4 linked regions of the Callithrix jacchus genome follow. The protein of the gene in region 4 purifies or fractionates together with the protein of the main gene of each other region. This does not show direct contact. Links are inferred from orthologs where the notes say so. Each region holds a gene or a part of one and is shown on either strand. Other genes may lie near its edges.

The links.
Region 1: the proteins of JAZF1 (region 4) and BRD8 purify together in Homo sapiens (affinity purification with mass spectrometry; 3 studies listed by BioGRID and IntAct, with this or other methods). This does not show direct contact. The link is inferred for Callithrix jacchus from reciprocal best matches to the Homo sapiens genes JAZF1 and BRD8.
Region 2: the proteins of JAZF1 (region 4) and NR2C2 purify together in Homo sapiens (affinity purification with mass spectrometry; 4 studies listed by BioGRID and IntAct, with this or other methods). This does not show direct contact. The link is inferred for Callithrix jacchus from reciprocal best matches to the Homo sapiens genes JAZF1 and NR2C2.
Region 3: the proteins of JAZF1 (region 4) and TRRAP purify together in Homo sapiens (affinity purification with mass spectrometry; 3 studies listed by BioGRID and IntAct, with this or other methods). This does not show direct contact. The link is inferred for Callithrix jacchus from reciprocal best matches to the Homo sapiens genes JAZF1 and TRRAP.

The regions. Positions count from the first base shown.
Region 1 is NC_133503.1:36,576,409-36,581,155, forward strand, and holds part of BRD8 (bromodomain-containing protein 8), read right to left. Parts: intron 4,736-4,747; coding exon 4,666-4,735; intron 4,049-4,665; coding exon 3,999-4,048; intron 3,784-3,998; coding exon 3,661-3,783; intron 3,540-3,660; coding exon 3,459-3,539; intron 3,037-3,458; coding exon 2,972-3,036; intron 2,016-2,971; coding exon 1,879-2,015; intron 1,366-1,878; coding exon 1,147-1,365; intron 756-1,146; coding exon 611-755; intron 1-610. UniProt on the Homo sapiens protein: May act as a coactivator during transcriptional activation by hormone-activated nuclear receptors (NR). Isoform 2 stimulates transcriptional activation by AR/DHTR, ESR1/NR3A1, RXRA/NR2B1 and THRB/ERBA2.
Region 2 is NC_133516.1:71,934,076-71,939,493, reverse strand, and holds the start of NR2C2 (nuclear receptor subfamily 2 group C member 2), read right to left. Parts: upstream 3,683-5,418; 5' UTR 3,606-3,682; coding exon 3,516-3,605; intron 3,203-3,515; exon of another isoform or gene 3,095-3,202; intron 1-3,094. UniProt on the Homo sapiens protein: Orphan nuclear receptor that can act as a repressor or activator of transcription.
Region 3 is NC_133503.1:14,618,697-14,623,443, reverse strand, and holds part of TRRAP (transformation/transcription domain-associated protein), read left to right. Parts: intron 1-1,607; coding exon 1,608-1,727; intron 1,728-1,943; coding exon 1,944-2,231; intron 2,232-2,398; coding exon 2,399-2,536; intron 2,537-3,658; coding exon 3,659-3,771; intron 3,772-4,219; coding exon 4,220-4,355; intron 4,356-4,747. UniProt on the Homo sapiens protein: Adapter protein, which is found in various multiprotein chromatin complexes with histone acetyltransferase activity (HAT), which gives a specific tag for epigenetic transcription activation.
Region 4 is NC_133512.1:30,271,895-30,276,072, reverse strand, and holds the end of JAZF1 (juxtaposed with another zinc finger protein 1), read right to left. Parts: intron 3,725-4,178; coding exon 3,548-3,724; 3' UTR 1,327-3,547; downstream 1-1,326. UniProt on the Homo sapiens protein: Acts as a transcriptional corepressor of orphan nuclear receptor NR2C2. Inhibits expression of the gluconeogenesis enzyme PCK2 through inhibition of NR2C2 activity.

The sequences.
Region 1 (4,747 bases), on a different chromosome or scaffold from region 4:
AAGAAATAAAAAACTGGTATTAATAAATATGTCACTTCTGCTGAAGTTCAGCATATTGTAAATCACCAAGTTCAACACCATTCAAATACCAATAAAGTTTATAGAATATTTTATGGAGCTTTTTGTCTTTCCCTGCTTTACACTTTTTTCTTCATTTAATTCTTATCACCTCTTCATCAAATATATACATTACAATTAATAAAAAAAGTAAACTGAGACTCAAAAGCTAAGTTACCTATACAAAGTCACAAAACCAATGTGTGGCAGGTCTGAGATTCAAGCCCAGTTCTCTGGTTCCAAATCTTATTCCACTATTCTAGAATCTCAGGTATCTCTAGTACCTTGATTTTGCAAGCCACAAGAAAGCAGCTCAGTATTACTCTTAATATCTATGCTGTGGTCAATCAGGGCTATCAATACCTTGAAGACAGACAGCTTTATAATCAGGAGCACTACATTGTTTACCAGGTAAAGTAGCTTCAAAAACAGTTAGACAAAGTTGGGCTTTAAACTAGGACTAACAATTACTTAGTAAAAAACACTGAAATTGAGGTCAGTCAATGTCAAGTTCAACACCTCTGAAGTAGATAAAGGAAAAGTGGTAACTTACCTGAGGCAGCAGGGGAGGCTGCAACAGTATTGGGTGTTTGCTGTATCTCCCCACCATGTATCATGGGAAGGACCCCGCCTACCTCCAGGAGGACACCTGTACTGTTCAGGTGGCCAGAAGCCACAGCCATTTCATTCTCATTGACCTACCAGGGAAGAACAGAGGTGAAGGCTACACTCAAGTTTTCCTTTACTACCATTTCCCAACAAAGCTCCAGAAGTTGATCAAACTTTATGAAAACTAACAGTTAACATCCACAGAGAATAATTTAATACCCAAGGGAAACTCTAAACTATAATGTTCAAAACTTATTTGACAAGAGTTCTCTGGAGTAGAGAACCAAAATAATTTTGATTCAGAGACCTCAGGACCCAAGGGTACTATCAACTTACTATATTTTTCAAAAATTAACATATAATTAGGAGATATTTTCCTCTTTTGAACTTTTTTTCCCCATGTCACATTTTAGGTCCCAGGCACTCCCTTCCAAGTACTAAATCACCACAGCTCTCAAACACCCACAGAAGTCTCCATACCAGTCTGGGGCTAGTAGGCAGGAGGCTGCCCTTCTTCAAGAGCTCTGACAGCAGAGGGGAGGGGGGTGGAGTTGCTTTCTGTCCAAGCATCTTTTTCTGGGGTGAATCATCTGTTACTGGGGTCATGGGGGCTTCTAAGGGTGCAGAGCCTGGAGGAAGGGTGTCAGGAATCCCAGGAAACGAGGTGACTGGGGTACTCGGCAAAGTCCCGGGGGTTACCTAAGAGACAACAGAGAACCTTTATCTGACTTCTCAAACTATGGAAGGTTCCCTACTAATCTGTTTGGGTTAGTGTGTCTAACTATTATTTTATTAGTCCTGAGTCGAATTGCCCAGAAAGCCTCTATCCCTCCTGCTCTCAGCCATACTTTTCTTCCCCACAAGCTTCACTTCCATCCACTCAAACATCCCACCCAACTTGCCTTTTATGAACTCCTTACCCACTACCAGTATTACATTTACAAGGACTCAGTCCCTTATTTTAGCAGGAATTTCATAAGACTAGTATGAAACAATTCCTTAAAACAGTCTTTTACCTATCTCTCAAAAAGGTCAAAAGCCTCAGTGTTTTTAGGTCCATTTTTATCTCAGAGCACAGAACATGGTAAATTCTTTAGCATTCAGACCAAGAGAGGAAGTTGCCTTTAGACCAAAAGTGGTTTCCTCATCACTCAGCTCTGCCGGCTTATTGCCCCTTAGCTGATCAATTTCTACAGCTGGAAATATACTCACCCCAGAGGTAGCCTCTTCCATAGTGGTTGGAGTCAAGTCCCCAAGTGGATAATCACCTCCTGGGGAGGCAGAATCTATAGGAGAGCGAACCATCACAGTGGGTAACCTCCGGGGGGGTGTTTTTACTGCTTGACGAGCTAGAACGTAAAAGAAAACATGTCCAAATCTTTAAGATTAAATAAATGAAACTTGACACTATTCTGCTATTATACAATAAAGGACAAATAGGAATGTTGCATTACTAAAGCAGCATAATGAGTTTGGATTAGAAAGCTTTAACACTTCTGGAGATGGATAACTTTTTAGCCTAATTTTTCCTAAGGGCAATTCTCACACTAAATAAACTCCTTTAACAATCTCAAACTACTTAGTTATCCCAAAAGTCCTCGGAGTGGGAAAGTGGTTTATACCCTTTAATATTCTCTTCAGTGACTTATTAATACTCTGCTTTTAAGAACACGGAGGCCAGGTACGGTGGCTCACGCCTGTAACCCCAATACTTTGGGAGGCCAAGGCAGGCGGGTCACCTGAGGTCAGGTGTTTGAGACCAGCTTGGCCAAAAAATTAGGCGGGCGTGGTGACAGGTGCCTGTGATACCAGCTACTTGAGAGGCTGAGGCAGAAGAATTGCTTGAATATCATAGGAGGCAGAGATTGCAGTGAGCTGAGATCATGCCACTGCACTTCAGGCCTGCACAACAAGCTCTCGGGGGTGGGGGAACAAAAACAGGAAAAGACCTCACAGCATTTATTCCTAGAGTTGTAAATGCTTACATTTCTCCCCTTATCTAATGACTGAGCTATTCTCAATCTTTTCACAGGCCTTTGACTTCTAAAACATTAATTATGTTCAATATCTTCTTATCGAGCCTTGGTATCCTAAAGTTATTTATTAAGGTCTAGTGAGATCTGAGCAGAGTTCATGTTCTAGGAGCTTCTTCTGGGACATTAAGGGATGTTTTTATTCTAGCAGAAGAGAAAACTGTGCAAGTAAATTTAACCCAATGGATTCTATGTTACAAAACAATCCAACTGTCATTAGCTTGCAGTACTGTGCGATCAACTGCTAAACAGATATACTAGGATCAGCTTACCCTGATATGCAGCATCTGTAGCCTTCCTCTTTACTTCAGCCTCCTCTTCTTCCAATTTTTTTTTCCTAAACAAGGAATTAAGAGTTAGACACTAGACAGGCTCTGGCTCCTCCCCAGAGTTCACAGAACCCATAAAAAGAAATTTTTTTGCCTGGCCAGCGCTTTCTGGAAGAAAGGCCTAAACAGGAATTCTAACCAGCAAAACAGGGAACTGGGGTATACTGTCTAACTCCCACTTCTTCACTCAGGCAAACTAGAGCCACTTTTAAGTTATAACTAAGTTATGTTTTCATACTGAAATGTTCCATCATATTACCTTCTAGGACTCACTCCCCCCTCCCAGCCACCAAGCCGCTTTGCAGTTTTCTCCTTCCAGAATCTGTCTCAAGTCTAAAGGGATGGCAGTTGGAGGAAATAAGCCAGATTACTTGAGGGGAAAAGAGGGGAAAAAGAAACAAGCACAGAAGAACAATATAATATAACCCACATTGCAATGTCATTGCAAAGCTCATCCAGTCTGCTGTCCATGTGTCCAGCTTGAATTAGTTCTGCATCTCTTTTTAACCGTCTATAGGAAGAAAAGAGAGGTAGGTAGAATGGATTTTTAATCTATTCTAAAAATCTGACCAATACCAGACGTCAGCCTCTTATGTCTTTCTCAGTCTTTTGGCATTCTCTCTGATAAGTACCTATATCTCTCCTGGGTTTCCTTTATCACTTTCTTTAGTTCCTCAACTCGCTCAGCAGTCAGTTTCCGAACAATGACGTCTTCAACAGTTTCCACCACTTCTCCTTTTTCACCTCGTTTCCGTCTGTGGAAAATGAAAAAAAAAAAAAAAAAAATCCATATTTGAATAAGAGAACATTTATCCCCTCTCCCACTTGCTCTGAGCCTTCTTTATCAATTAATCATAGATAACTTCTGCTATGTTTTTAAATCACCCACTATTATAAATAGGTATAAACCAGAATTCCTCAGTAAACACTCTATAAGAAATTTGGCTAAAGTACCTGGCCTTATACTCACTTTGGGGTCTCAGTGGTCTCTAAAAGCTCCGAGTACTGGGAAGCACAATGCTACAAAAAAAAAAAAAAGTGAAAATGTGATGAGCAAGCATGAAAAGAAATGCCCTTTCAAAGTTTAAAGAGATTAGAGTAAGATTTAGAGAAGAGAGATATATGTAAGATGTGAATGGTTTCTAGGCAGGTAAGTAACTTGATAATCCAATCAGTTCAAAATAATCAAAACAAGACACAGAAAGAGTCTTATGGACTACAGTTTGTGCATTTGGGTAAAGGCAACCTAATTGAAAATATTTATAGCTAATATCTACTAACAAGGCACTGTGTTAAATGCTTTACATGTATTACCTCAATTAACTTCACAACAATCCTGAAGCAAATCATCACTATTTTACAAATGAAAAAAACACAAAGGAAAATGACCCAGTTTTTGGATGGAGTAATAATGAACCCAGATCTAATTTCCAAGCTTGGGTTCTTAAATATTATGCAACACTGAGAAGAAAAGTCTAATATGATCATATATGGATGGATTAGCAAAAAGTAGGAAAAAAGAAAAGGCATTCTTAACTATTTTCCCACATCATGGTACAAAAGCTTTGTAATTAAAAGGCAGGGCCTGCTTTAGAACTCAAAGACTGCTCTAAAAGAACACTTGCTTGGGAACTTACTTTTTGAGAGAACCAGTCTGGAGGGCGGCCAGGTTCTGCAAAGGGCTTGATTGCTCTGCTAACTGACACCCTGCAAAATGAG
Region 2 (5,418 bases), on a different chromosome or scaffold from region 4:
CCACTTCCAATTCTGAGATTCTAGGATCCCTTCACAGACTCCCCGTGTGATATTTATTAAGGTGATACTTGTATAGGAGATGCTTTGGGACTAAAGGAGCATACGGCTCACAGATAAGAGAACTTGACAATAAAAATCCCAATGGAAGGTCCTCAAAATGTGGAGACACTCAGGCAACTGACACAGGAGGCCAGTGGCTCAGTGCCATGGCTGAAAACAGGGCTGCTCCACAAAGACTCACCTCCCTTGTTCTCAAAGTCATTTAGAAAACAAGTATCCTCTACTTCTGGCCCCATTCTCAACGCTGGCTACCACCTCCCTGTTTGACAAATGGGGAACTATACGCCTCAGAGAATCTACAAACTCCAGGTTCTGAAGCCAGGTACTTCTGGCTTCATACCCCAAGCTCTCTGTCACTGCACTGCCCTGCCACATGACTCCTTGGAGACAGATGCTAAAACTTCCCAGCCAACTTCATAAAGTGAGAAGGTTGTTACGCATAGAGATTTTCTTCTATAAAGGAATGATCATGAAAACAAAACTTCAAGTTCACTGTGAATACAGCTACTGAAAGCAATAAATGAGTAACTTAATGGTGTAAAAAAATATATAGCTGTTTTACTAAACTATCAGTTCTTTGGTTATCCTGAGTAATTAGCTCAACGAATCAAGTGTTGAATTGAACAAGTGATACCAGAAATCCTTGAGCAAGACAGAAAAAAAAAAAATCCAAAAATTAACTATTATTATTTTTAAAATACCCTAACGGTATCTTATTTTAAAAGTTTTACAATATAAAATAAGTCAATACAAATGTTCTCTTTACCACACTTTGGAGTAGCAACTTGATATATACTTTACAAAATTTGCTTTTAGCCTTGGTAAAGCAATTAAAAGATGATTTTCAATAATTTCATTAAATGAATAAATTTATCTCTGGAAGGATAAATATCCCAAAGTAATGGCTACAGAGACTTTCAACTCCCAACTCCCTGTGAACCCACTGGAGGCTTCTTCCTTGCTCTCCAATTCCCTGTGATAGTGAAACAAAAATCAGAATATTTGATTTCAAGAAAATCATGTTAGTTTGGTGCTTTGTTTCTTCAGTTAAATAACATAAGGATGTTTGGGTTATTTATTTCTTCACATATGAACTTACTTTCATGCAATTAAATTTATAATTCAATCATAAAAAGATCAATATAGTGGGAAAAATGATTGAAACAGGTCATTTTATTCAATATTTATGTCTCAAGGCAGTGGCATATCTAACAGAAAGCACTTCCTAAATACAACCAAATACCTTAACAGGCTTTTTATTGCTGGCAGTGTTATCTGAATTGCCAAAGAGGCTCACATAAAAGGTGGATACTGCATCAATGCACAGCAACTTAGTTATCAGTGACATCATAAATTATCAACAATTCATTCAACAAATAGTGCCAGGCACTCTTCTAAGTGCAGGGTAAGTAATGGTGAACAAAATGTATTCCTGCTCTCCTGGCTTACAGTGTGGTAAGGACAGACATTAATCAAATAATCACATAATGGAGTGTATAATTACAAAGTGAAATAAAGGTTATAAAGAAAAGAAACACAATAAAAAGAATCTGATTTAGATTGGCAATGGGAATTAGGGAGGACTTCCCTGAAGAAGTGATGCTTAAGCCAATATCTGAGGTAGGGTGGGAGGACGCAGGGGTAGGGGACAGACATTTGAATATATCAGGCTGAGGGAACAGCCTGTGAAAGGGCGTAAGGTGAGAAGGTAAGCTACACTGGTCAAGGAAGTTGAAGGTAGGCCAGTGTGTCCAGAGCACAGGAGTTAGGGGTACACAGATAAGAAAATAATCAAAAGCCTTGGAGAGGTTTTTAAACATAAAGCAGAAAAAGAGCCCCTGCCATTATGTAGGTTCTAGTGGAGCCTGAACAACATACTGCCTGAAAAGAGTTTTGTAAATCATAAAGCACCCTATACTTTGGTTAGTACTATTTAGTTTCACTATTTTATTTTCTAAACGTTTGTCCTGGATGCCAAGTAGCTAGTTGAAAGCATAGAGCCAAAACTAGAATCTCAGAACATCTATCTATTGTTTTTGCCCCTACACCACACTGCCTAAAAATTTCATTGTTTCTATCACTTAACTAGTCCAATGTCTATACCAGTACTTCATAATGACAATAACTCTACTTATAGAGTATTTACTATATGTCAGGCCCTTTGCTAAGCTCTATTATTTACATTAACTCATTTAATCTTCAGTTCTAGAAGGAAGGTTCTATTATTATCCAGACAAGGTTACTGAGGCTAGGAAAGGTAACTTACACAAAATCACACTACTAGTAAAAGTTGGGAGTTGCTAATCACAACACTGAAACATTTTATGTCTGTGTATGTATGTGTATAAATACCTCTTTAGCTCCAGAAAGAAAAAAGAGAGAGATAGTGAGTGTGAGAAGGGGTGTGTGTGTGTGTAGAACTTGTACACAGAGAATTATATTCAACTTCAGCCTGGACGATAGAGTGAGACCCTGGTCTCAAAAAAAAAAAAAAAAAAAAAACATGTTCACATGTTTGAGCACCAGTGTCTTCGTCATTTTTGTATTCTCAGCCTAGCGCAGTGCCTGGAGTATATGTGGCATTCAGGAAATATTTGAAGAACTCAAGATGTATATAAGAGGCTGACGAAGGATTTGCATCTGGAACTAAAGTGAGTTTCCGAGGCCCTCCTCCCAAGTCATATATTCACCAGCAATTCGTATGAAGGCCGTATTTTCCTCGACTTTATTATTACATTGAAGATTTGTTCCTCACTACCGTTGCTATATTTTACAGCCTTTGGCTTGGAGTGGGATAATGCACAATTAACTAGTTCCAACCAACTCTCCAGCCACAAGTAGCTAGTTCTCAATCACATCAAATGCTCTTCCTCCGGGGCCCTTACACAGGCTGTCCTGTCTGGAATGCCATTCCCTCCTTGGGTTCCTCTGTTCAAACATCACTTCCTCAGAGAGGTCACCCCGACCATTCCATCTAAATTAGTGCCTGAGGTCTTCAGCAGGTCATTTGGTTTTTTCCTTTCATAGAACTTACCACTCTCTGGAATTATTTCTTTGTCTATTTACCCCCTAGCCCCCCAACGCTAGTGAGGGCAGGGGTCTCGTCCAGCTGGTTCTCCAGATGTATCCCCAGTGCCTAAAACTAAGTAAACATGTATTCAGTGAAAGAATGAAAAGAGAATCACCCCCGAATCGTGCTCTCTCAAGCCCTTAATACCCTTAAGCTTGCCTCTCCTGGTGGCCGTAATCCCATTTTTAACAGTAATACCATTTTCAAGTGACTTTGAGGCTAGCAAAGTAGACTTGACTCCATTTTCTGAGCAGAGCCCCAAAAACAATGCTGAAAAGGGAGGTCCAGCCTGGCAAGAATGCCCATGCTCCCCATTTTACAATGGATAAAATTGAGCCTCATTTGGGGATTCGCCATAGCCGCTCCGAAATAACGAGCAGGAGACCTGAAACGGGTTTGTCCGCGTTCCGAAAATCTCTTCCCTCGAGACCTCATCGTGGACTCCAAACGCATCACCTTTAATACTATTGTTCATTAGTACTCATTCTGGACGCGTTCCAGTAGGAGGGAAGCCGCCCACCCCAGGGCCCAGGGCCGCGCCCCTTGTGCCCCGCCCCAGGCCCCGCCCCCCGCGCCCCAGCCCCTACTCCCGCCCCGCCAGGGCTCCCGCGCCCCATAGGGACCGCCCTATTCTGCCTCACCCAATCAACAAAGATTATGGAGGCGGTGCCACAGAACCCGACCCTCCTATCCGGGCGCCAATTGGTCGGCCCACCCGTCGCTCACGAGGTGGTGCCTCGCACCCGCCTTCCTCCTTTCCCTTTGCCCTCCCCTTCAGAAAAAACGGCGGTTGGGCCACGGCGGCCGCCAAAGGCGGACTAGAAGCGAAGGGGCAAAGAACCCAGGAGAGAGGGAATAAGGGACTGCAGGAGGGCGGAGGAATATAAGGAGGAAGGGAGCCCGCCCAGCCCAGGCCATCTCCGTCGAGAACAAAATGGCGGCGCTGGCGGAGGGCCAACTGTGAGGCGGGGCCGCGGCCATTCCCCCTCCGCCCCCACCCTTGCGCCGGCCCGGCCGGTCAGGGGGAACCCGCTCGCTTCGTCCGGCCGCGGGCGGGGAGGGAAGGGGAGCGGCCCGGCCCACTATGCAAAGCGCCGAGCGCCGCCGCCGCTGCCGCCCCGTGGCAAAGGTAAAAGGGTCGGGTTCAGCCGTCGTTGCGGCGCCTCCATTTCCCCGCGCCAGGCCCGCCCCCTCCGCCGCTGGCCCGAGCCCGCCCGACCCTTTTTCAATCTTACCTTAGGGTTTGGCGCCAAAGCGGCCTCGAAGCGGGTCCCGTGTCTGCGGCGGGCGGCCCCCGGCGCGGAGGGCAGGGCGCGGGGAGCCCCGGCTCCCGGCGTCGGCGGATGGCGGGAGCCCGGGGGCCGCGGGCTCGCGGGGCAGCGGGCGAGAGACGAGATGCCGAGGTGGTTGCGGGGTGGCGGGGACGGGCCCGGGGGCGCCGCCGGTGTCGCGGGGAAGGGGGGGTTTGTTATTGTTTTTGTCAGTGAAAGGTCAGAGTTCGTGACCCCGGTGCCGCCGCCGCCGCCGCCCGCGCGCTGGTAGGAGGAGGGCGAATGTTCTTCTTCCTCTTCCCAGCGCCAGCCTCGCCGCGGCGGCGGGGGGCGGGCGAGCACGCGATTGGCTGAGGCGCGCGCGCGCACCGGAACGCCGCGGCCGGCGCTCGGTCCATCCGGCCCTTGGGCTACGGGGCCCCGGGCGGCGGTTGCGGCGGCTCCCGGGCTCGGTCGCGGCGGGGCGGGCGGATCTGTGGCTTAAATGGCGCAGGCGCCAGGGCCTAGAGGCCGAAAAGGTAGATATCCTAAAAACTCGTGATGTCGCGCACGGTTACCCGGGCCCAGGCCCGCCCCTCGGGGGAACCGCGAACTCCTCGCGGCTGGGTGGGTACTGTCCTCGCAGTGGTGGCCTCCACCCCGGCCTTCCGCCTAACCGAGGTTTCTGGGAGGCTGGCAAAGTCTCTGTTGATGGAAGAAGCGGGGCCCTGACTAGCGCGACCGCGGATTCGCCCAGCCGCTCAGTAGGGCGCCTGTAGGTCGGAAGTGGGGGTTGTATTGGGTGGGAATTGAGCTATTCTGGCCTTTCTCGGTACAGATAGTTTTTAATTTAGGGTTTTAAAGATCCAAAGATGCGTCCGCTCTGGCCATCACAGGTGAAGTGTTGAAACACCCTAGAATCTGTAATTTTTTCTTAATGAACATACGATCCAGATCTTGTGTAATTCCATGCCCTCCTCGAGATATGAAAGTAGTAAATGGTAATATGTAGGAATGTGTAAAGCAGCTTTTAGCAGC
Region 3 (4,747 bases), on a different chromosome or scaffold from region 4:
AGCGATCGTAATCCTCCGACACAGCCCTGAACGTCGTAATCCCGAATATTGAAATCCCTGAAGATCAACACTTCTGACCTCTAAAATCCCAAAAATACAATGCTGGAAAAAAATAATTTAAAAATTATTTTATAAGAAACACAGACATACTTCAAATAATACTTTACTAGGTAGGCTTTCTTAATCCACTGAAAATTAATCCACAAGGCTCCACCCCCACCACCGTCAATGTGGCACCCACAGGCATCTCCTTAACCCATGCAGACAGTAACAACTCACAGTTCCTCACCTGATGCAGCTGTCCTATGATGATTTTCAGGGATTTTGATCTTTCAGGATTTCAACACTCAGGGTTATGGCAGTTAGGATTGTGTCTTTTGGGATTCTGATGCAAACCCCATGGTTGGAGTTGAGCAGCTTTATCAGTACGTCAGTGACGTTGGTTCTCCCCAGCTCTTGGTCTCTGCTAAATTGACGTGGAGCTGAGAGGCCCCTGATAGGCTGGTCAGGGTGAAGTGTGTGGCCATGTGAGGGGAACTGTGGCCACTTATCACAGTCCTCCTCACAGGGAGCCTGATACCAGGCTCAGCCTGGGTACTGAGTTCAAGGGTCTCCTCTGTGGCACACAATTAGGAGCGTTCTTTACCTAAACATTTTCACCCATCTTCCTTGAAAGATTGGTATCCTTGCTGTCTGTTCTTAGTAGAAACATGACCGTGCCAGTGGTTTCCTCTCTTGGGTTTGCTGAAGGAGAGATGGAAGCGTAATCATGTCCCTGGAACTCTGTCTCTGCACTGGGGCAGCAGGCACTGTGGCTGTCGGCTCATGCTCCAGACCCTGGTGCCACTGCCTGAAGCCACGTAGGGTGTCTCCTGTGGGCTAGAGCAGCTTCAGGCAGACTAGAAACCTGGCTGTTAATAAGGACTGTTGGCAGCTAATTCAGATCAGATCTTCCAAACAACAGGCCTGGGACGAAATAAACACATCTGTGGATTTGCTGTGCCCCCTGGGCCTTGGTTTCTACCTCTGGCTCTCATCATCCAGGTTCCCTTCCAGTTCATTCTATTCTCTGTTCAGTTGCATTCTGTTTCAGTCTGTCTCGGTCATTATCTCCTGTCTCTTGTCCACTGCCAATTGCAGACACTGAACTTTCAGTTGCTGATTTGTTCTTCATAATAATACCTTTTGGCAAGTAGTTTATGTCATATACATGTGTTTTCATGTTCCAATTTTCAGTGGCCGGGGTCTCGGTGACATCTGTGTCCCTCTAAGTTACTCCTTCAGCCTTATCAGTTTTTGTACTTCTTGGATATGATGGGATCGGTAGTGTTAGGAAATGCCCTTAAAAACTGAGGACAAATGCAGGCGCCGTTGCTGAGGGATGCCTGGGCTTGCTGCTAAGCACACCGTGGCTTTCTGGGAGTCAGGATCCATGGGCTTTTACTCCAATATGGAGTAAAAAAGAAGATTTCTCAGATCTTTGAAAGTTCAGAAGTGGAGGAACATCTGATAATGTATGAGAACAGATCAGGGTCATCTTCTGAGCCTGGGTGTGCAAGGCACCTCTAGCCCATGGCCATCTCAGCCTATCGTCTTTTTGTCCGTAGACTGGAGCGCTGCTCAGCGCTTTCGTTCAGCTGTGCCACATTTCCACAACGCTGGCAGAGAAGACATGGGTCCAGCTTTTCCCCAGATTATGGAAGATCCTCTCTGACAGACAGCAGCATGTGAGTGTATCTTTAAAATCCTGTTTTGGAGAAATGTAGTTTCATCTTTTGGTAAGTATTCTTAAAAGAACACAGTCTTGATCAAGTTTTAGAGGATGAGGAAACTGCTGGCTGTCACTCGAGTGCATTAGGAAAGGTATTCTTAGCTGCATCAAGAGAGACAGTGAGACGCTGATTTTTGAATGAAGCTATGGATGACATGCGCTTTGGTTTCAGGCGCTCGCGGGCGAGATAAGTCCATTCCTGTGCAGCGGTAGTCACCAGGTACAGCGAGACTGCCAGCCCAGTGCGCTGAACTGCTTCGTGGAAGCCATGTCCCAGTGCGTGCCCCCGATCCCCATCCGACCCTGTGTCCTGAAGTACCTGGGGAAAACACACAACCTCTGGTTCCGGTCCACACTGATGCTGGAGCACCAGGCTTTTGAAAAGGGTCTGAGTCTTCAGATAAAGCCGAAGCAAACAACAGAGTTTTATGAGCAGGAGAGCATCACCCCACCTCAGCAGGTGAGGATGCGCCTCAGATTGTTCATTACCTCTTCCCTGCCAGTGTCCTCACACTTTAAATAAGTACTGCTCCCAAATGATTTCAAATTACAACACAGTGAAGCTGCATTTTTAGGAAAACAAAGTCTTTGTCCTGAGCACTGAGGAACCTTGCTTTGTGTTTTCAGGAGATACTGGATTCCCTTGCGGAACTTTACTCCCTTTTGCAAGAGGAAGATATGTGGGCCGGTCTGTGGCAGAAGCGGTGCAAGTACTCGGAGACGGCGACTGCAATTGCTTACGAGCAGCACGGGTTCTTTGAGCAGGTAAACCTCCGGTAACTGCCTGGCTTGCATGTGCAGTGAGAGGCCATTTCTGATGGTTCTTTAGTAAAATCTTCTCAAGTTCTAGCTCACTTTTTTTATGAGATGGAGTCTCGCTCTGTCACCCAGGCTGGAATACAGTGGCACAATCTCAGCTCACTGCAGCCTCCACCTTCTGGGTTCAAGCAATTCTCCTGCCTCAGCCTCCCGAGTAGCTGGGACTACAGGCACCCACCACCATGCTTGGCTGATTTTTGTATTTTTGGTAGAGATGGGGTTTCACCATGTTGGCCAGGTTGGTCTTGAACTCCTGGCCTCAAGGTGATACGCCCACTTGGGCCTCCCAAAGTGCTGGGATTATAGGTATGAGCCACCGCGACCAGCCGGAGTTCACATTTAAATATGCTTTAAAACGTGAATCTGTAAAGGCCCTGTGACTGAAGTCTGCATTTAAGAGACACTTCTGTATATGACATGAGCTAAAAAGCACAGTCTCAATAAGTCCCGTGCATTAGATGCCAGCGTGGATGCTTTTTACCTCCCATTGTGGGTCCGGTTAGAAGTAATAGGTTTCGTTTAGTGCTTACATTTTACTCTTCATTCTGCCCTTTGGCATGGCGTGGGCCACTGTTTCAGGGTGTGATCCCAGTACTGTGTAGGGTGCCGAGCCACAGAAGCTCCAAAAGCAGATGTGGCCTTGTGGCTCCTGCTCTGATCACTAAAGGATGGAGAAATTAATCCTGCATCTGGACAGCCTCCCCTTCCATCTGTACAGGGAAACCCACCTTCTCTGTCTCTGTGAACAGAGAGCTGTGGGTGTTGAGTGGTCCTGCAGAAGAGCCCCACACACTCTCAGGTCTGTGATTCAACTTGCTCTACACAACTGGGCCATGGCGGTGAAAAGGTGTTTCTTAGCCAGCTGCAGGCTTGTACCTGCAGTTCAGTGACTTAGGGAGGCTGAGGCACGAGGGGCCCTTGAGCCTAGGAATTAGGAGTTTGAGTCTAGTTTGGCAACATAGCAAAACCCCATCTCAAAAAACTTTTCTAAGTGTTAAATTTAAAAACACAGAAAGAAAAGGTATGTTACTAGTTAAACAGTAGTTTAAAAGTGTTAACTTTTTTTAGGCACAAGAATCCTATGAAAAGGCAATGGATAAAGCCAAAAAAGAACACGAAAGGAGCAATGCCTCCCCTGCGATCTTCCCCGAATACCAGCTCTGGGAAGACCACTGGATTCGGTGAGCCAAACACAGTGCTTGACATGAGCATGAATCAGTTGAGGGAACCAAGGAAACATCTCAGACCTTTTCTTGTAATGAGTGTTTTTTAAAGGGAGCTTTGCTACTTTATGGCCACGTAAAGAAAAGAACAAACAGAAACCTAAGACCAGCATGTAAAGCCTTGAGTAATTAAACATGTCAACTGGAGAAGCAGTAAACTATCCTTGCATCTCCCCTGGCTCCAGTGCTTGAGGCCATTTGCTGAAAAGCAGGTGTTTCGTGGTGGGCAGCAGGCAGGGGGCTCACCCCGCGATGGAGCCCATCTCCGTGTTCTGTAGAAGTTCACTCTTGCTGTGTTGTTCTTCTGTAGAATGGAAATTTGCTTCTTAAAACCCTATCACTGCCTCTTTGAATTCATGAGTGTGCTGGTGACTGAGCTTCTGCCCTCGGATCTATGGTCTTGTAGGTGCTCCAAGGAGTTGAACCAGTGGGAAGCCCTGACCGAGTATGGCCAGTCCAAAGGCCACATCAATCCCTACCTTGTCCTGGAGTGCGCCTGGCGGGTGTCCAACTGGACTGCCATGAAGGAGGCACTGGTACAGGTGAGGCACTGGTACTAGTACAGGATGCCCCAGGGGCATCCCTCCAGCTGCCTGGGTCCTCTTTCCTGAAGCAGCAGGTGTCTTTTGGGAAGATTTCCCTTAGAACAAGCATTTTGGCAGTGGAAAGATAACTTGTGGAAAGGAAAGGTTCTTTTTGATTGTCTTCAATGCCTTTCCTGAATTTGAGTAATGTCTTTTTTTTACAAAATGTGAGAAGTTGAAGATGAGAAATAGTCACAGACTATTAACTAAAGGATGGAATCAAGCCCAGGTTGTTGACTTCTGGGAAATGACTCATTGGATGCAGGAGTTTGTGTTCCTCTGAGAAATAACCAGTCACTTATATCAGTAAAAATACATTCTTCCCTCAGTATCTAGGACCCCCACAGATA
Region 4 (4,178 bases):
ATTATGTAATAAAAAGCATTTATCATAACGGTCTTGTGAAGTAGTTCTTTGAATATGGATACCTCTATAATTTAGCCCATTAAATGATAGGTTTTTAATTTTTAGAAATGGAGCTGCATGTAGACTGAGATCACATGCTTTTATATGAAATGTTAGTTTTAGCAATTAACAGGAGGTATATTTTGCTAATTTTATGACAAAATTTCAGAATAACCCAAATATTTTTAAACTATCTAGAAATTGTATGTATATATCTAATAGGAAAATGGAAAAACAGATGTCAGTATAATTGTTTTCATATTAAATAATCTCATAACAGGGGTGTTTGTGGCAAAAAATTACAGAATATGTATCAGTATCTTTTTAAAATTTTCCTGATGAGAATATAAATTTGAAATATTCTCAGTAAGTGATTAAAAGTACACTGCATAAACCCAGATCAAAGTAATGTGTTTCTTTGGTTATGTCTGCTGTATAGAACTCTCACTAACAGTAAAGAGGACACGTTTTCTGAGATCTGTAATTTCGTTGTCAAATTTATTTGTGAAAGTTTTTCATCAACCTAGCATCTTAAACATCTTTTTTTGGTTTGGGCCTTTAAAATACTTCTGAACTGTATTCTCTTTCCCTTCTATAATGTGCATATGAATAATTTAAAGTACCAACTTTTGATTTTACCACTTTTGTAGTTATCAATATAGTTTACATTTGTTCTGAGTGAACTAGTTATTGAAGATGTTAACCTAATATTTCGACTTGGTGGCATTCTGGGTTGCTATATGTGAACTGTAGCATATTACATCATTTGTATTTGTTTGTGGAAGCAGAGTTTATGTATTGTTAGTATCCTTTAAAAAGGTATTTTCGTCTAGGGCAAACCAGTATTAGGCATTCAGATGCCAGCTGTTAGGACACAGTAGTCCTAGGAAGCAGTAGCTTTGGAGATTCGAAGTTTCAGCTTCCTGATAGGTTGTATGACAAGCAGAATATACTTAGGTACAATATGTTCAACAGTAGGAGCATTTTTGTTGCAGGTAATAATTATGGACCATGTTAATCCAAAAGTATCCTTTGAATATTCCAGTAGTAGATGCTGTTCATCCTTACTAGCCTAGAACTTATTTAAAAATAGTTACTGGGTCCCAGTTTAAGTAATTTGTGATTGATAGAAAAGTAATACAGCCTAATCTAACCAAAAATTTAAAGGAATAAAGTCTACATGCATCACCTGAACAGCCTAAGATAGAATGAGGAACTGAATGGATATATTAATTTCCACTTGATACTGGATTTCATAATGGACACTAAGGAAAATAAAGAGCCATATTTATTTTTGGGTCAGAGGCAGTTTATTTTAAATGTGATTTCATTTACATTTATAAGCAGCTTTTCTTGACAGGAATTTTGATTAAGTTGCCTTCAATTCTAATACAAACCTCTGTCGCTTTCAGACTTAATGTGCTCTGTTCCCAACAAAACATATGAAAATATAATTTAAAGCACAGTTTTCACAGACACAGTACAATACATTCACTATACACAGTATAACAAAATATTCCCATCCTTACCTGTTTAGTAATACTGTCACAATGAATAAGTAAATAGAAATTGGAATTTGTTTTATCATTGAAAGAAATTTAACATGCACAATGACTATTTTATGACTGTTTAGCTGTTAAACTACTGATCCAGCCTGCAGTTCTTTGCACTAGAAGGAGCAAAGCTAAATAATAATTGCTGGCCTAAAAATTGTTTTTTGGTCAATTGTAGGTAGATATGAAATAGCCAAGTAGGGCCTTCTTATGCACCAACTAGTTGCTTCTCATGTCGTCTGGATCACCCTTTTAAACAGGATAACACTGTATATTCAGGACCAAGACCATGCTTCAGAGCTGAGGAAATTTTAAGAGGGCAGTGTCTTTAAAAATACTTTAAAATCCCTCATTATGAGGGATTCAGAACTTACGAATTTAGAGGTTTACTCATCTGGCTAGCAGAATTGTCATCCTTTCAAAACATCTGAAAATTGAGGAGGGACCCCCTGCTTCCTAGCTACATGTGACGTAAGATTTTTCATCAGATGGGAATATGGGAAGATAATTTTTTTATGAGCAATCTGAGTTTGTTTTATGGGCAGTTAGCTATCTCAAAGCATTTTTTTATTGCATACTTAGGCAATTGGTAAACTCTCATGTTTAAGGAATAGCACTTGGGAGAAAAGAACACTCAAGGCATGATGGTATGTCGGTGAGGAAAAACTTCAGGAATGGTCCAGATGTAGGTTACTCTAACGGGTCGTATTAGTCATGCTTTTCTTTGACCACCTGCTGCAAGAAGCACTTAATTGTCAATAAGGCTCATTTTCATATTTCAGCAAAGTGTTTATAAAGCTAAACAGACATTTCCTATGAGAATGCAGACTCTACAATGTGATGAGAAAAGTGCCTTTTAAGAAAAGTCTCAAAAATGATGAGCATGAAGAAGAGGCAATAGGAGTCTTAACAAAAGTGTTCCTCTTTGAAACATGCTTAGAATTTTAGTTCTGATTTGCAACCCACAGGACTGGTAGGGTAGTGGTTGCAAGAATTGGCAACACATAACCATCATTAAATTGTTGGCAATAGAGAACTACAAAGTGCTTTAAAACTTCATCTGAAGATGAAGATATAACTAAATTCCACACACACAAAATTTGCACTTAAGTATTTCAAAGTGTTTCCTAACAGATTTCAAGGAAAAGTATTTCACTAAATTGGTTTCTTGGTCCGCAGATATCAAGAGGCATAAATTGAATCTCTTGCACCCAGCAGGCACTCAATGAATGTGTGGTTAATGAATGAATGAACTGAATAAGACTATTTTGTACAAAATGCCATTTATAACACTAAAATGACTAGTAAGTCAGATGGCAAGATTTTCAGCTTTTTAAAGGGCAAAAGATTTGCAAGATAATATAAAACACAGAAAGCACACCTTTTATGTATGTTATTTAAATATGAAAATATTTTTAGCATATTATGTTAAACATTCTTATTTATATTTCCATTACCTAAAGTCTTTCTACTCACAAATACTAACTCCATTATGTAAGGCATGGTAACCAGTTTGATAATGAAGGTATTATTTTGGTTTTGAACATATGTGAGTTGATGTGTCGAAAACTTCAATCACATTACAATCTTGAAAAAAAATCTCAGTGCCAGCCCCTCCTCCCCCCAGTTGATTTCACTGCAATACAATTCAACAATATGCCACATGCCCTCAATTTTATTTTGTTTTGGGGGAAATGTGCTGAAGAACCTAGAGCTTTTTTGTTTAGCACCTTATATCAAAGTAATGAAAATGGGTATGATGATTACATGTGCAAATGTACAAAATCATTAACTCTACAAAGATACATCATTCCAAAATTACAGAAAAAATTTAAAGCATGCATTTAATTCTTTTTCTTTAAAGGGTTGCTGAATGCTTCCCCTGAAAAAAGGTGGCTGTTTTCAAAATCAGCAACTGCTGGTGAGGATTTCTTGGCACAGTTATGACCAGCATGTTATTGCTGCATCTTCCTGATAATCTCAGCCGACACCGGGGGATGGAAATTGATTGTGTGGTGCCGCAGGCCCTGAGCTGTCTTGTAACTCTTCCCACAGCGACATTTGAATGGTTTGCGGACACGAATCTGTGTTCTGTGACCATTCTTAGCGTGGTACTTTATGCCATTCACATTCTGTGGAGAATACAAAAATATTTCTTATTAGATGGAATCACAGAATGTCAAACTTAGGAAACCTCAATTTGGATCTGGATTGTAGTTCCTGGACGGCAGCGGTTCAGAGCGCAGGCTTTTGCAAGGATTCCAGTTGTGTGCTGATCATGGGCTGTACAGATGGTCACACACACAGCTGACTCGAAATTTCAGATGTGCCTCAATTACTCTGAAAATGGAAGTGCTGATTTCTTCCAATATTTAGGACTTACAGACTGTAGAAAGAAAATCCTCTGAATCTTTTTCACTCTAAAGAAAGTTAACAGTGAACAACCCTATACAAATCCTCAGCATGACCAACAAAATATCTTTCTAAAGAAAAAAAAAACATTAGGGCACATCTCAAAGTTTGACGTATATAAATTTTTGATTTGAAAACAATTTACATCTTGCTTCCAGACAACTGTGTTAACAG